3 linked regions of the Danio rerio genome follow. The protein of the gene in region 1 binds, or shares a complex with, the protein of each later gene. Links are inferred from orthologs where the notes say so. Each region holds a gene or a part of one and is shown on either strand. Other genes may lie near its edges.

Region 1 (5,636 bases):
TGTCTATGTACTAGTAATTTATTCATTCTTTATACTTACCTGAAGTGGCCCATAACTATATTAAAGACAAGGGCCACACACGGGCTATAACCGGCCAGAATCTCAGCCAATTTATCACCCTTAACTGGCCCTAAACTGGGCCAAAACAGGTTTATTATTGGTACAGATTGTCAGCTATAAGTTTATACTTTAACCAGAAACCCCAAAAACTGAGCCATTACCCAGCCTAATGTTACCTAAACAATGCGACCAATTGCTACAATCATCTGGCCACACACCTCCCATCCACAACTGGCCCAATTGTTGTTTGCTGTCATGCATGGCCCACATTCGGCTGACATTTTGCACTGTGGCAACACGCCAGCAGTGCCGTAACGAGGCCACATTTGGGCCAAGTCCGTTTGCTATGTGGGTTGTGTAAGGTCCACCCAGTTGGCCCAATGCCGGTATCCACTGGTGGATGAAGGTTTAATGCCTGTTCGGTCTTTCCAGTGCACAATGTTGATTTATATTAAACTTAGCTCATATCTGACTCCAATTTAATATGAGGTGGTTTAGAATATTAATATATTTATCCTCGTTTTATCTGACTCCAATTATAAAACATTAAGAAGATTATATCAATATGTAATTTAGATAAATGTTTGAACCTTTTGTCTTCACTAGTAACTATTACATCCGTTCATTCGGGTGCTCATGTCGCTCAGAGAAATCGCCTCGGCCGAAGGCGTCCCTCACGGTCACACTCCGGTCAGTCTTGAATATTAAACAGAGGTAAATTGACTAATACTTTAGATGGCCCCTACCAGCGCGCTCGTTCTAAAATACTTTAGTTAGTCCCGCTTAGATGTACACCTTTGAGTTAAGACAATCATGATTTCTAATTAGAGGTTAGGGCATTAATATAAATGTACCCGACTACTGGACTCTATAGTAACTTTGGTTTTCACCAAGCCCATGGTTTCCCATATGAACTTAATTTAGAATAATATTACCTTCAAACAAAGGTCGGGTACCCAATCTAGGTTAGTCGTGCAACACCTTGTTGACCTAGACGGAAGTTATCGCCCTTTCCACCTAAGTACACATGAATCAATATCAAGAGTCAGTCGGATCCCTTAAACACAATTAGTGTGCCAATGCTCCATCTCAACTGGATTTTAGTCCGTCTACTGACCTGACACAAGACGTGCGGAAACAAGGATACAGCGTAATCTACTAGAACTAATAATTACAGAGTGAGCCAAATATGGTCAAACATTACAATTTATTAGTCAGGTAAATGTATTATGCCAATTCAATCAGTCAATTCATAAATGATCAATACAAAACATCAAATTATCAAAGATAAATCCAAGATGAAAGATGCATACCTGACTTAAAAACTATACATAACTAGGAGCAGGCTCCATGTTATGGGCTGATCTGGGTAGGCAGAATCGCGCTGAACCTTTCTCAGACCTTGCCTTAAATAATCCAAGAATTCCCTCAAGGAAGGGGGTGTGTGCATAACAAAAGGCTTTCACACTTAGTGGAAAAGTCACACCCTTCACAGTGGTTCAAAAGATGCCTGAAGTTATATATTTATTGTTTTGATTAGGTCTATTTCTGAGAGAATGAGGCCATTGTACCAATCGCACTGAGACATTTCAAATTATATCAAACATGATAGTTAAAGTCAGTTTGGTTAATCTAGAACATTCAAACATTAAATGACCATATGTGAGAGATGGGTGGATGAAGTCGAGTTTCAGCAGACTCAGATGCAAATGCAGCAGGAACTAGTTTTTCCCGCATTCCCACCTGCTGGGTTGTTAAGTCACCAGTCTCTGTTTTCAGCTCATGTTTTGAATTGTCAAAGATATCAAAATATTTGCAATATTTCAACTCTTACAGTTGTATATATCTCTGGCTCTGGATGGCCAGTCCTCCACTGCTTCTTGGTCCTGCATTTATTTCAAAGAAGCGCTACCCTGTACTAAAATGGCGGCTCTATTAACGCATACCTTCCAATAGACAACAACAGGGTAAGCGACATCTAATGTAAATATCTATGTACCAAAATAAAACAAAATTCTCTATTTTTTAAGTTTAATGTGGAACAGTTAATTTAGGATACTTATTTTATGCATTCACCCTGTAATTATTAAACCGAAAGCCACTGTATAATTGACTACTATTAAGTTTGAAGTACTTAAAAATCCACCTATCATAAAGCCTACCGTGATTATCAGTTGTATGGGCCACAGGGCGACCTCTATCGTCCGCAATTAATGTTTACAACGGAAATAGAGTAGCGCCGGAACTACGTAGAGCAAGATGGAAGCTAGTGGCGCGAAATCACGGAGCATATATGGGTGAGTTTATATATGTACAATTCAGTATTTAACTTGATTTATTCACGTCTATATACGTGTTTTACGTAATTACTTGCCAAAACTTAATCTTGAACGGTTTTAAACAGTGTTTCAAGTTGTCTTTAAGTAACGTTAATGGGTTTAGCAAATACAAAAAGACGGAGGGTGGAAATAACGTTAAACTGAGAGCTAAGTTAATCATGTCACACAACGAACAGTTTAATGCTGAAAACATCAATGTACGACATTAAGAGGCAGTAAAATAACATAATAAAGACAGACCGAGGTGAACTGTATGTTGTTTCTTATGCAGCCTTCATATCATTTATGAAATAACATGAAATAAGCTTGTTTTGGTTATTTTATGGAAAAATAATCTAGCGAAGAGTAATTAAAATATTAATAAAACACGAAATAGTGATTTGTTCATGTGGTCTATGCTTTTTTTCTTGTTATAATGCTTTATTATAGTTATATTCTTGTGTAGTCATGTGATAAGCTATATTATTTTATTTATAATGTTTCATTTACAGACTGTATTTATCTGTTACAGTACAATATTACTGTGTTTTTGACTGCTGTCACAGTTTTTCTTAAGAAATGTGTCAGTTGTAATATATTTCAGGTACATAAATTCAGACACACAAACTCATATATATATATATATATATATATATATATATATATATATATACACACACACACACACACACACACACACACACACACACACACACACACACACACACACACACACAGTCCAATGTCAGTTTGAGAATGTGTATAAATTGAGGTTGTCATCATCATTCATCATCAACATCATTATTATTCTTGTGTGTTATTAATGCAGATGTGTGTGTGTGTGTGTGTGTAGGTGAAGATGAGCAAGCGAAGGCCAGCCGCTCTCTCTGATGTCCAGTGTGTCTCTCTGGTCTGTCCTCCTTCCTCATGTTATTCCAGATGTTGTAATGTTGTGTATTGCTGATGTGTGTGTGTGTGTGTGTGTTCAGGTTCAGGAGCTCCTGCGGGAGAGATTGTGTCATCAGAAGTTGCCAGATCAGCCCATAGGCCTCGACTCACAGTACAAGTGTGTTCACTTCATTAACTATGTGTGTGTGTGTGTGTGTGTGTGTGTGTGTGTGTGTGTGTGGATCTGAACGCATAACCTGTATGTGTTTGTGTGAATGTGAATAGTTTCCCGTGTGTGTGTGGATTCCTACCCCCTGTGTGTGTGTCTTACATTGGGAATCTGTGTGTGTTTGTGTTCTTACCCTGTCTTGTGTTTGTGTGTTAACTTGAATTCTTGATTTGAGTGTGTGTATTCTAACGTATTCTTGTGTGTCGGTGGATTCCTAGTCCCTGTGTGTGTATGTGTTAACTTGAATGCTTGAAACTACGTGCATGTTTGTGTGTGTATTCTTACCCTGTCTTGTTTTTGTGTGTGATCTTGAATGCTTAATCTGAATGTGTGTATTCTAATGTATTCTTTTGTGTCGGTGGATTCTTAGTCCCTGTATGTGTGTGTGTGTGTGTGTATATTCTTTTCCTGTGTGTTTGTGTGTATTCCTGCCCTGTGTTTTTTTGTGTTTGTATATGTGTACTTAAGCAGTGTGTGTGTGTTCAGGCACCTGCTGGAGCTGCTGAGACGAACTGCTGTTCATGGAGAAAGTAACTCGGTTCTCATCGTCGGTCCTCGAGGATCTGGTAAAACTATGGTATGATTTACTGACGGCTGATAAAAGAAATCAAAAAATAAAAATTAAATGCAGATATCATCATTTACTCACCCTCATGTCTTATTAAATATCTTTATATGACACATAATAGAAGAAATGATTTAAGAAGGTTTATGCTGCAACATTCATTTGTTATACAAACCTTGAAAATGTTTACCCTAATAAAATAATGACATAATACAATTAAATAATTTATGTAGTCTTTTATTGCAGTACATAAAAATAACATGGCATTTTTGTACTTTTTTATTCATTCATCCATTTTCCTTCGGCTTAGTTCCATTATTTATCAGGGGTTGCCACAGTGGAATGAACTGCCAACTATTCCAGCATATGTTTTACACAGCTGATGCCCTTCCAGCCAAAATATATATTTATATTTACCATATACAGTCATTCTAATAATATATACAGTTGAAACCAGAAGTTTACTTACACTGTATAAAAAGGCATTAAAAAATTTACTTAAAGAGTCAGATGTTAATGTGATTAAACTTTTTCTTTTTTAGGTAAGTTAGGATGATCAAATATTCCTGTTCTGCTTAATAGCAGAATAATGAGAGCGATATTGTTTGAGAAATTGCTATAACTTTTCTTAAAAGTCAAGTTTACATACAGTAACATAATTCTGCCTCTGGAAAAGCTCAGATGATGGTGTCAAGGTTCTGGAAGTTTCTGATTGGCTAATTGACCATATTTGAGTTCATTGGAGACACAACTGTAGAATAGTATTGAAGGAAAAGCTCAAACACACTGATTCCTTGTGTACCAACATGGGAAAATCAACAAGCCAGAATCAACAACAAAGCCAGATTACAATTAGCTAAATGACACTGGGGAAAAAACTAAATTTATTGAGACATGTCCTGTGATCTGATGGAGCTAAAATTGAACCGTTTGGCCATAATGAGCAGTGTTACATCTGGAGGACAAAGAGGAAAGCTTACAAGCCTTGGATCACCATCCCTACTGTGAAGTATGGGGGCGGCAGCATCATGTGGGGCTGTTTTGCTGCAGGAGGGACTGGTACACTTCACAGCATAGTTGGCATCATGAAGACAGAACATTATGGAGAAATACTGAAGCAACATCTCAAGACATCAGCCAGGAGATTAAAACTTGGCCACAAATGGCTCTTCCAAACAGACCATGACCCTAAGCATACTGCCAAATTAGTTCAAATGTGCTTTAAGGACAACAGAGTGAATGTTTTGGAGTGGCCATCACAAAGCCCTGATGTCAATCCTATAGAAAATGTGTGGGAAGAGATGAAAAAGCTTGTGTGAGCAAGACAGCCTACAAATCTGACTCAGTTACACCAATTCTGTCAGGAGGAGTGGGGCAAATCCCCCCCCCCCCCCAAAAAAAAATTGTGAGAAGCTTGTGGAAGGAGACCCAAAACATTTAACCAAAGTTATACAGTTTAAAAGCAAAGCTAAGAAACACCAAGGCAGTGTGTGTAAACTTTTGACTGTCTAGAAATGAATAAAAAATTCTCAAAAAAAAAGTCCTCTCCTTATTCTGGCCTTTAGCAAATGTAAAT
Region 2 (5,324 bases), on another chromosome or scaffold:
TTGTAACCCTGTTATAGTAAAGCATTAGCAAAATTGAGTGTGTGTGTGTGTGTGTGTGTGTGTGTACCAGTTCCTGTAGGCGCAGAAGAGCAGGAAGCAGGCTGAAATCCATATCTCTTATGCGTTCAGCTCGGTCCAGAACCTACAGAGACATTTAATAACTTACAGTATATGTTATCTTTAACATCAATGGCATAAAACAAACAAAAGTGTGGAAAAAATAAGACACCTTTTAGGCGGTCAACATGTAATATTCTATATATTTTATTTAACCAAATGTTGGCGAAAATATGACTAAAAATGATCTAAAAATATTAATTATTTATACTCAACTGTTGTCTTTTTCTGCAAATAAATTATGCAAATGATAATAATATTATCATTTGAAATAAAAAAAAAACATGTTATCAGTAGTTTAAAAAATATATAATAAAAACACAAAACATCTATGAATGGCAAATCTAGATAACTGATAATATTTTTATTAATAATTACTGATAATATGCACACTGTGGCATGTATACTGCAATATATACATCTGCAATATTTTGATAATTATGTATATATATACATAATGTATACAGTATGTGTGTGTGTGTGTGTGTGTGTATTGCATAGCCCTAATAATAACACCAAAATACTGACAAATCTCCAAACATAAGCAAAACCATTGAATGTTAAATATTAGAATGAAAACTCACTATATAGCGTGTCTGTGTGGCAGGTGTGTTGGAGCTCATCTGTTTGTACAGGCGTACAAAATCTGACAAAGACGGACAACGCGGAAGCAAAGCAGCTGAATCTGGTCCGAAAAGGGCGGACAACACCTGGTAAAACAGCAGTCCAGCGGACACGCACTCCACACAGTCCACTGAAGCATGAGGAAGCTGCAAAACACACACAACACCAAAATACAGCCATTGTCTTTCACTTCTGACACTAAACATGTTTACTCAAGAAACCTAAAATGAAGGCAGAAAAACACTAAATGGATTTTTTAAATTGAAGTAGTTTTGTTAAAAACAAATCATCCTATGTTTATTATTTTTATATATAGTTATATATAGTTTATATATAGTTTATATTGTGATTGATAAATGATCAATTACTAAATCGCTAAAGATAGAGGCCTCATGCTGAACTGAACTTATTTATATATACTTATTAAATGGACAAAGCACAAACAAAATTAAGTAAATAAAAACCTTTTTTTGTATGCAATTGCTTAACAGCACTAATATTAGATTTCCATAAGTCCCAAAACAGACAATTAATCCTCAAAGCTATTAATCGTCAGACAGATTTCATAACTGTGATGGCCCTAGCAAAAACATAAACATCACTTCTAACAGATGCATTACTAATGAAAAACAAATAAACAAGTTCAGCTCGAAATCAAAAAACCTGTTTGACTTACTTTGATATCCTCTGATAACAAAGCATTAGTCTGTGCCCATCATACACGACATCTGCAGCCTGATTCTGACTTATAGCTTAGCAGCATTGATTGTCAATATGGGAGGTGGGGGGGATATCTAGGCAAAAGTGATGTAATGTGCTTCTTCACCTGCATAAATGAGGACTTCTCCAGTTATATGGAAACTCGGGTTTCCATATAATCCTTTTTCATTATCTTACCTCCAGATCCTTCATGATGGTGAGCACCACATGACTCTTTCCCGTTGCTCTGTGCCCATAGATGAAAACTGAAGGATAGCTGTAGTGATCTGGCTGTTAATCAACAGAATAACCACAATTCAAGTTAACAACGAACATGTGACATATCACAACTGTCACTATATAATGCAACAATGCCAGTGTGCAGCATTAAGACAAATTGAACAAGAGTGTTTTTTTAAGAACTATTTTAAATACACTTTTCATATTTATGTGCATGTGAGATAGATATATATATATATATATATATATATATAAAGAAATCATGAAATATTATTTTTTATTCAGTTTTTAAAATCATGTGAGCTTTTAATGAACATGGTAAAAGGTTATAGCATCACAAACTTTTTTTGTCATTTACATAAAGATTTTTTTTGTTTGTTTTCAAAAAATGAAATTGGTCAGAACAATTAAAACATTAACTGTTTTCATTTGTCATAATTTAAAAAAGCAGTGTTATTGCACCAATTAGTTCTTGAACTATTTTTATTGCCGTTTTATATATAATACGTCATTTTAAGTAAGCTATTATAGTACACTTCTTCAATTGATTTTAGTTCAGTAATTGTTAATTATATATATGTAGCTTCTATACATATATGTAATTATTTATATATTGTAGTATGTTTATGTATATTTACTTTCATATTTACATTAAGTTGCATTATTATTACATTTCTTCTACAGTTTATAATGGTGTTTTTTTTTACATTTGATTGTTTTTATTATTTCTATAATTTATTACAAGAACATAAACAACAGTTAAGTATAAAGTAAACTATAACAAAAAATAATAATTCTGCCATTTAACTTTTTTATTATTATTATTGCAAGAACGATACAAACAAAACAATGCCAGAGGTATTAAAATAATAAAAAAACTAAATGAAATAAAATAATAGAAAAGGCTTAAAAAATATTACAATTAAATAATGCTAGGCCTTGCTAACTCACATTAACTTAAAAGTGTCAAACAAATACACGGTTTAAACAGCTATTTTGTTAGTACTTCCCTTAATGGTATTTATATAAATATTTAGTTCTTTAAGTACCACTAAAACAGAGGTTTCTGATTGCTAAATTAACATCGATGACATACATAATATCGATACATAACATAAGCTTCATTTTCCAACTTCTTATCATGGTTAAACCAAAAATAACATATTCATACAGTAAAAGAAAATTTGACAGCACTTAATCGTTTATAAATTTAGATACCTTCCCCCATAACAGTTTTGTGTATTGACAATGCCAGAAAATATAAGGTACTGTTTCTGGGTGAGATGAGCAAAACAATTGACATCCATTTTTTTAATACATCTGGTTAAAAAAAATGCTTAACAGGGTAAAATTAGTGTACTATCTTAAATGAGATTTCTTTGATTTTATTTGTAATTAAATATTTATTAGGTAATACCAAAAGTTTCCTCCAATCAGTATTTTGAGTAAACCAATAGAAAATTACATATTCTGCCATTTAACTTACCTGCCCCATGAGTGACAGCAGTGACGTCACCTGTGTCTCCCTGCATGGCAGTTTTTCAGCAAGGGTGCGCAGTGTGTCTTCAGGATAACCGGGACACTGCAGAGTTACAGGCATCCTCTGATCACAGCAAAACACATGCATTTAGTAAAGTGATAAAAACTACAGATGATAAAAAGCTCGGTTTAAAACCTTGAGCGCACACAGGTGTTTGAACAAACTTAAATGCAAAACCTAGATGTAGATTAGATATCGCATTATTAAAAATGATGCGTTCATTATTGAAGATTAATAACCATAACTGCTAGAACCTATACTGAGAGATATTCACACGTGGTCAAACTAGCAAAGCCCTAAACATAACACTTTTAAGCAAAAACCAGTAACAACAAGAAACATAAAAACCTGATACTCGAGCAAGTTGTGTATCAGCAGAAAGACATTACAATTTTTGGTTATATATTTTCAGCTTTCTTCCTGCACGGTAAACTTCACATCAGTTTCCCCGCTCAAGTCGCAACATACGTCACAAGCCGCATGCGTCACTTCCGGATACGGTACTCTGGGATATGTAGTTCTTGGCAGTTGCTCTTAAATTAATTTTTTATAACGTTTGAATCGGAGAATCTTTGGTCATAATTCTCGCGAAACTCACAGAGACACAAAAACGATTTTGGATACAATTTTATATCGGACTCTGTTTGATCACAGAGTCATGCCAGCGTCTCTTTTCTGAATCTCTCCTGTATCTGCTATGCGGACGGGAGTGACAGACGCAGACTGAATATTCGGGTGTGCCTGAAATCTGCGCTGTTCGCTCGAGCGCGCCTCATTGACAACCACACGCGCGGAATGAATCTTTTCATCCCTGCTTTTTTGCACTGAGTCGACATCACTTTGGTCAGGTGCAGTGGGTTTTCTTGCTCCGAGATGTGCGCGCAGGATTAAATCGGATGGAGCAGTGGTGCGCCGTTAAGCCAGAAGCCGAGAGGAGAGCGACATTTGCGTGTTGCAACTGTCTGTGCGTGTAAATCTGAGAAGAATGGACACGCAAAATATGATGCAGTGCAAGTGTCGTCATCCCAGCATCCGTTATTTCTGTTGAACGCAACAGCACGGCGAGACTGATCACGGAAAATCAGTCTTTTCCCATAGTAGCCTCGTGGAAACGACCATTTGGACTGTACAAGGTAGATTATTGCTTATATAAATGTACCCTTTAGTATATATATGTCTCATTCGCACACCATCCAAGCATTAATTTATTCGGGTCATCATTAAGTATTCATACTGACATTTGCGTTGGGAATATTATCTATGATGCGCTGGAATGCGTCGTCGTCATATGAGCAGTGTTTTCCTATGAGTTTAGTCATTATTTTTATGCTGTCCCGAGTGTGATTATTCACCTTAATGAGATTGCTTGGCTGAATGATGCGGATGCACAGACACTGAATGAGAGGAGAGCTGGAAGAGAACATCATTGGAGTCACGGACAGACTGCCACATCCACGCTGAACGAATCACTGTGACATCTGGCACCAAAACTGCTTAGTCTGTCGCGACATCTGTGAGCTGTTCTGTCTATACTTGAGTTTAGCTGGCACCCCAGGCAACAACCAAGTCCGGATTGAATATACAGAGGACCAAAAGTCCAAACTAAATGCAGAAAGGAGAGAGTCTACACTGAAACTACAGATGAGCTGGACCTGGACTGAATCCAGATAGGATCTGAATCCAAGCTGCATCTGAAAAGGACCAGATTGGGACTAAATCCAGACAGGGTCTGAATCCACACCGAATCCAAAAAGGACCAGATTAGGAATAAATTCAGATTAAATCTGAATCCACAATAAATCCATAAAGGAGCTAAATCTGAGCTGAATCCAGATTCTGGATAATTTTTTGCATCCACACTGAATCCATAAAGGATCTAAATCTGGACTACATTTGAATCCTGACGGACCCGAGTGCAGTTAAAACTGAATCCAGATAAATCAAGATAAAAAAATCAGAGCAAAATCCAGCTTCAATCCAGTCAAAATCCACAAAGGATTTGAGTACAATTTGAATCCACATTGGATCTAAATGAAGGCTGAAATTACATCTAGAGTTATTCTAGAGCAATTTTTAAATTGAGTCTGAATCCAAAGAAGACCTA
Region 3 (5,319 bases), on another chromosome or scaffold:
CCGCAGTGAATTACGGTACATGACTGGACCAAATCTGGCTTCCAGACAAGGGCCAAACACGGACCATATCTGGGCCGAGTCTCAGCCAAGTTAATAACTCATAACTGGGCCTGAACTGGGCCAGATAGGTTGGTGTGTCACGATTGCAATTAAATTGATAAATCCATGGAGTGATGCGCTTTAGGCACACTATGGGCACGCTTTTTCTCAAAGTGACCTGATTGGTAGAATTTTTTTTCTTTACTCAAAAATGATTTTAGTGTATTTTAAATGTGGGTCAAGACTGGCCAAACTCACATGGCCCACTTATCAAATTTTTAAATCTGGGCCAAATACTACGTTTTTCATCTGGCCCAAATCTTGTGTGCCGCCTTAAAGACGGTGCCACCTCTGCCAAACCCGGGCCATGTTTGGCCCACATGCTGTATGCCAGTGCCGGATGAATGCCTGCTGTGCCAGCTTTATGCCAAATCTGGGCCAGAATTCTTTGCTACTAGGGGAATTAAACCTACAAGTTACAGTACAAGTAGGCTAGTAGTAGCTTCTGCAACTTCAATCCTATTTTGTATCAGACATTGTCTTAATATGATTCTTTATGTCAGTCAAATCTGTCAACTTCAAAACTTGAAAGAAAAGCTGCAGCTGAACCGCTATAACATGTCTGTCTTATCAATGAGGAGTGTGCTAAAAACCTGGACTTTTACACTTTAACAATTAAACTAACTCTGGCCCATTTATCCATTTCAGTGCACAGTGCCTTTTTTCAACAGAGATTGACACAAGAAAACACTTGAGGGGAAAAGATGCATGTGACTCAAGTGGTTATATGCCCGAGCCATGTACTGTGGGGGTGTGACATTTCATGTTAAGAGCTATACGCTCCCTCTGCATAGCACCAATTATTATGTGTTCAGCTACTCCAATCTATGTAAAGTCATGTTTCTGAAAAACAGTGATGCTAGTGATGCTGCCATGTAGATAAAAAAGACAAGCAGTCTGAGAACTGAGCCATGATGCACACCTGTTACAAGATTTATTGACTCAGACACTTCAACCCTGACCCAGACCCTGGATCGACATGAGAGGTAATAATATTAATAACTAAGTTGACAAGAAAATGAATGAATGAATGAATGAAAATACTGCATAGACTCAAACCCCTAATATTCGTATCTAAAGTAGTTTATTCGAGTTGTATGCTTGATAAAGTACACATATGCGCTTCAAAATGTATGCTTTTGATATTCACATGCAGCCTAGTACTGGGAAACACCCACAGACTTAAACACTATGGCCAATTTCGTTTATTATATTCACCTATAGCGCATATCTTTAGACTGTGAGGGAAATCAGGTACACCTGGAGGAAACCCACACGAACACGGGAAGAACATGCAAAATCCACACAGAAATGACCCAGCTGAGGCTCGAACCAGCAACCTTCTTGGTGTGAGGCGATCGTGCTACCCACTGCGCCACCGTTACGCCCCACATATAGGAATTAATCAAATCTTACTCAAAAAAAAGACATATTTTACATACTATTTAGATATCTTAAAGACAGGGGGCTGATTAGATTGAAAGATTGATTATTTGTAAGGTTAATGTTGTTATTAATGGATCATTTTCCCCTTGACATCGACGCTAGTTGCTAGATGGCAGTATAGGCACTTGTTGGTTTGCCGACTTACAAAGAAGAAGACGAAAAAGCGGTAACTGAAACGCATGGTTTACTGAAAGTTTGTCAAATTATATGTTTTTTTAAGAAAAGAAATGAACGAAACACTCACGACTTCATCAGTGTCAAAGGTAAATGAGCGCTGTCTGCAATAAATGCATGATAACTTATTAAACTTGACACGCGTCCAGACTTACAGATCGTTATATGTATTTCAGGGATGTTTTGTTTTTAAGTCAGCCTCTAAAAAGAGAAAGCGACATGTAGGTCTTGGTAAGTAATGATTGTCATTATTACAAATATCAACGTCTTCACTTCCATACACACGTACTTCTTTCAACGATCACTATTTTTATTCATTACATGTAGACGAATATTTAGTGGAGGCTGACGACGACAGCGGCAGGGATCGATTTAGGATCTGCCAGAAGTTATGGGAGACGGTTCAGACAAGCACTGAGGTATGTATGTTTGCCACATGGAAAAAAATACTGTAGTAAATAGTGTGTTTTTGAACTACAGTTCTATCTATCTATCTATCTATCTATCTATCTATCTATCTATCTATCTATCTATCTATCTATCTATCTATCAAGTTGTCTGTCTGTCTGTCTGTCTATCAAGTTGTCTATCTGTCTGTCTGTCTATCTATCAAGTTGTCTGTCTGTCTGTCTTACTGTCTGTCCATCTATCTATCTATCTATCTATCTATCTATCTATCTATCTATCTATCTATCTATCTATCTATCTATCTATCTATCTATCAAGTTGTCTGTCTGTCTGTCTATCAAGTTGTCTATCTGTCTGTCTGTCTATCTATCAAGTTGTCTGTCTGTCTGTCTTACTGTCTGTCTATCTATCTATCTATCTATCTATCTATCTATCTATCTATCTATCTATCTATCTATCTATCTATCTATCTATCTATCAAGTTGTCTGTCTGTCTGTCTGTCTGTCTATCAAGTTGTCTATCTGTCTGTCTGTCTATCTATCAAGTTGTCTGTCTGTCTGTCTTACTGTCTGTCCATCTATCTATCTATCTATCTATCTATCTATCTATCTATCTATCTATCTATCTATCTATCTATCTATCTATCTATCTATCTATCTATCTATCTATCAGCAATTTTACCTTAATTAGCATTTACGACAATTTGATGTATATGTTCTTGGACATCGCAAATATGGTACTGTCTGCGGCAAGGATGCATGGCGCTTCTACAAAAACTATTACTTCATGGATATGTGCAATAACTAAGATAAAAGCTATGCCGGCCACAATGGCAGAGATGAAGGAGTGGATTAATGGGATGATTGAAATTGCATCATATGAGTGTATGCTGGGGAGACTGAACATGGAGGGAGAAGTACATAGAAATTGGGATAATCTTTGGCAACATTTAAAATTAGGATAAATGAGTATGTACATTCAAAGGTACCACAACCTTCATTTCCATATATGTTTGCTGTACATTGTTATTCTTTGTTGAATTTTCTTGGTGTACGAGGCTGAATATGTAACATGTATCATATGTATGTGTAGGGTAAAGTGTGTTCCTTGTTCTGGGCTGTTGAACAATAAAAAAGTAGAATTACAAAAAAAAAAAAAAGCTATGCTGCTGTGATTTTTTTTTTTTTCTTTGCATTTCATTTAACCTCTGTGTAAAAGTCCAATGTTTCTACCTTTATTCAAAGTGTTTTTGTAAGAAGTTAAATGCAGAGGTTAATTTATTTGTTTACGTATTTATTTATTTATGTATTCTACCTTTTTTTAAACTATTATTATTATTCCCTCGTTTAGTTTTTGGCCCTGATTTATTTCCTTTTTGTTAAGTGGTGACGTGTTTGTGACGTATGTATTACCCTTTCCGGGTCGTTCATTTGAGTGGAGAAATCATTTGTTTATGATCACGTTTTATTCCTATCACACATTAAAGTTAATTTTATGTAGAATCATAGTGTACACAACAATCTGTGGGCTTGCTGCATAACAAATACCAAAAATTTAACAGTTTATAAAAAAATAATCACTTTCTGGCCATCGGATATTGGGCATGGACATATATACTGCGATCGTGATTTTTCGAAAGTATTAAATCGCTTTGTAAACGTTTATTGTTACTATTTCATGAGTCTCCCCATTCAGTTGAACAGAGCGCTTGGACTCGGAAGCCGCTTCGTGTGACGTCACAATTAACAAGCGGATTATTTATTATTATTTTCGCCAGGGGTGGGTGGGGTTGGGTAATAATAAGAAACATAGTTGGTTGGTATCCTTGTCTATAACTATATACAATATTATTTTCAACTGTTCAATAAAAATTTTATCACAAAAACAAAAAAACGATTTGGTAATGAGTGCTACGACATCTTGTTTTAAATATAGTGAACTGATAAGCAATAGTAAATAGTGTAGTATACTTTATAATTTACTTTAGTAAACTGTTGTGAGTTTCCTTATTTTGTTTGTCTGGCTAAATAAATTTTAGCAAGCCTTTCAGTTCTTTTCTTTATTCATTTGCTCATACATCATGTATGTATTACAGGAAATACAAAATCAGCTGAATAAAAAGGTGCTCGACAGTCTTGTTGAGTTCATTAAAAAGCACGAGCTGGGCTCCTCATCTGATGTCTGGAGGCAGAGAACAAGTGAAATCCCCACAGCTGCCCTAATGCTAGGTAAGGCATGAGTTCGATTTTGAGATTTTCTGAAATATAGATTTTTTAGGTGCAGATCTGTGATTCATTTTAAAATGAGAAGCAGCTGTGAAACATAGTTTGCATTTTACATCCTGAGACTTATTTTATACACAATGGTGTCTTTATAACTAGTCTTTTTAAAAACTTGTTATTGTCTTCCAGGGGTAAATGTTCCAGATCATGCCATGACATTTCGCAGTCTGTGTAATCTCCTTCAGGATTCGGTCACTCCATTTGTGGTATCTGTTCATGCCAAGGAATGTGCAGGTATGCATACAACCCGAGAAAACTATTCAATCTGACTGAAATCCTGTCAGTGGTACAGAATGCCTGATCTGCATTTAAGGATGTGTTTGTACCTTATAATTGCAGATTTTCAAATCTTCTGTAAGTGGGCTGCACTGTGCATATAATACAATGATAATGTGTAGTTCTATAATGTTCATAAGGGGTGGGAATCACAGGTTATCTTGCGATACGGAAATCGTTTTGTCCCTGATAATGAAATATAACACAATATATCACTCAAATAAGGTTTAATGGATCGGAAATGAGGCAGCAGAGAACTGAAACTTACAACAAATAGGTGGCGGCAGTTCCTTGCTGTGACTACCGCTAAACTGAAAGCAAAACAAACATAAGCTGCGTCCCAAATGGCACACTATGCACTCATGCACTATGTACTTATTAGGGGTGAAAATCGAAATCGATCGAAATTTATGCTCAAATTTCGATCATCGAATCAAAAAATAGAATCGTCGATGCTGCCACGCCCCCATGTCACGTCAGCTTGGCTTGTCAAGCGGGAAAAAAACAGGCTTGTTGAAGTGCTTGTTAAACTGCAGACGCAGGAGACCCGTCGACAGAGCTTAAACCCTCTCCTCTTTCAATGAAGTCGCCGGTGTGGAAGTATTTTGGATTTCCAGTCAGTTATGTTGACAA

What was found. The genes of interacting proteins can lie anywhere in the genome.
Region 2: the proteins of orc4 (region 1) and orc5 are in contact, whole or in part, in a cryo-EM structure (PDB 7JPO), measured with the Homo sapiens proteins. The link is inferred for Danio rerio from reciprocal best matches to the Homo sapiens genes ORC4 and ORC5. Residues at the interface, in NP_001177808.1 of Homo sapiens: Ser18, Gln21, Arg22, Arg25, Glu26, Cys29, Arg30, Gln31, Arg69, Thr74, Asn100, Leu102, Leu103, Gln104, Ile105, Ile109, Glu113, Arg116, Asp162, Arg277, Met281, Met284, Leu285, Asn288, Met311, Asp312, Ser313, Lys314, Asn316, Ile317; in NP_002544.1 of Homo sapiens: Ile17, Ser20, Leu21, Phe22, Gly23, Glu24, His26, His27, Phe28, Ser29, Phe30, Pro31, Tyr36, Gly37, His38, Thr39, Thr98, Phe99, Asn100, Val103, Arg104, Arg131, Glu134, Asn136, Pro139, Gly140, Arg143, Gln145, Glu146, Leu147.
Region 3: the proteins of orc4 (region 1) and orc3 are in contact, whole or in part, in a cryo-EM structure (PDB 7JPO), measured with the Homo sapiens proteins. The link is inferred for Danio rerio from reciprocal best matches to the Homo sapiens genes ORC4 and ORC3. Residues at the interface, in NP_001177808.1 of Homo sapiens: Pro370, Lys374, Glu377, Gln381, Ser392, Gly393, Asn394, Ser395, Gln396, Arg397; in NP_036513.2 of Homo sapiens: Thr227, His260, Arg261, Leu262, Leu263, Pro264, His265, Ala266, Ser269.

What each region holds. Positions count from the first base shown.
Region 1 is NC_133181.1:1,848,372-1,854,007, reverse strand, and holds the start of orc4 (origin recognition complex subunit 4), read left to right. Parts: upstream 1-2,309; 5' UTR 2,310-2,357; intron 2,358-3,207; exon of another isoform or gene 3,208-3,231; 5' UTR 3,232-3,237; coding exon 3,238-3,288; intron 3,289-3,367; coding exon 3,368-3,444; intron 3,445-3,981; coding exon 3,982-4,072; intron 4,073-5,636. UniProt on the Homo sapiens protein: Component of the origin recognition complex (ORC) that binds origins of replication. DNA-binding is ATP-dependent. The specific DNA sequences that define origins of replication have not been identified yet.
Region 2 is NC_133179.1:22,959,693-22,965,016, forward strand, and holds the start of orc5 (origin recognition complex subunit 5), read right to left. Parts: upstream 3,664-5,324; 5' UTR 3,569-3,663; exon of another isoform or gene 3,481-3,568; intron 3,284-3,480; 5' UTR 3,281-3,283; coding exon 3,167-3,280; intron 1,732-3,166; coding exon 1,639-1,731; intron 888-1,638; coding exon 702-887; intron 143-701; coding exon 68-142; intron 1-67. UniProt on the Homo sapiens protein: Component of the origin recognition complex (ORC) that binds origins of replication. DNA-binding is ATP-dependent. The specific DNA sequences that define origins of replication have not been identified yet.
Region 3 is NC_133192.1:55,405,930-55,411,248, reverse strand, and holds the start of orc3 (origin recognition complex subunit 3), read left to right. Parts: upstream 1-1,656; 5' UTR 1,657-1,772; coding exon 1,773-1,808; intron 1,809-1,895; coding exon 1,896-1,950; intron 1,951-2,046; coding exon 2,047-2,138; intron 2,139-4,223; coding exon 4,224-4,356; intron 4,357-4,539; coding exon 4,540-4,644; intron 4,645-5,319. UniProt on the Homo sapiens protein: Component of the origin recognition complex (ORC) that binds origins of replication. DNA-binding is ATP-dependent. The specific DNA sequences that define origins of replication have not been identified yet.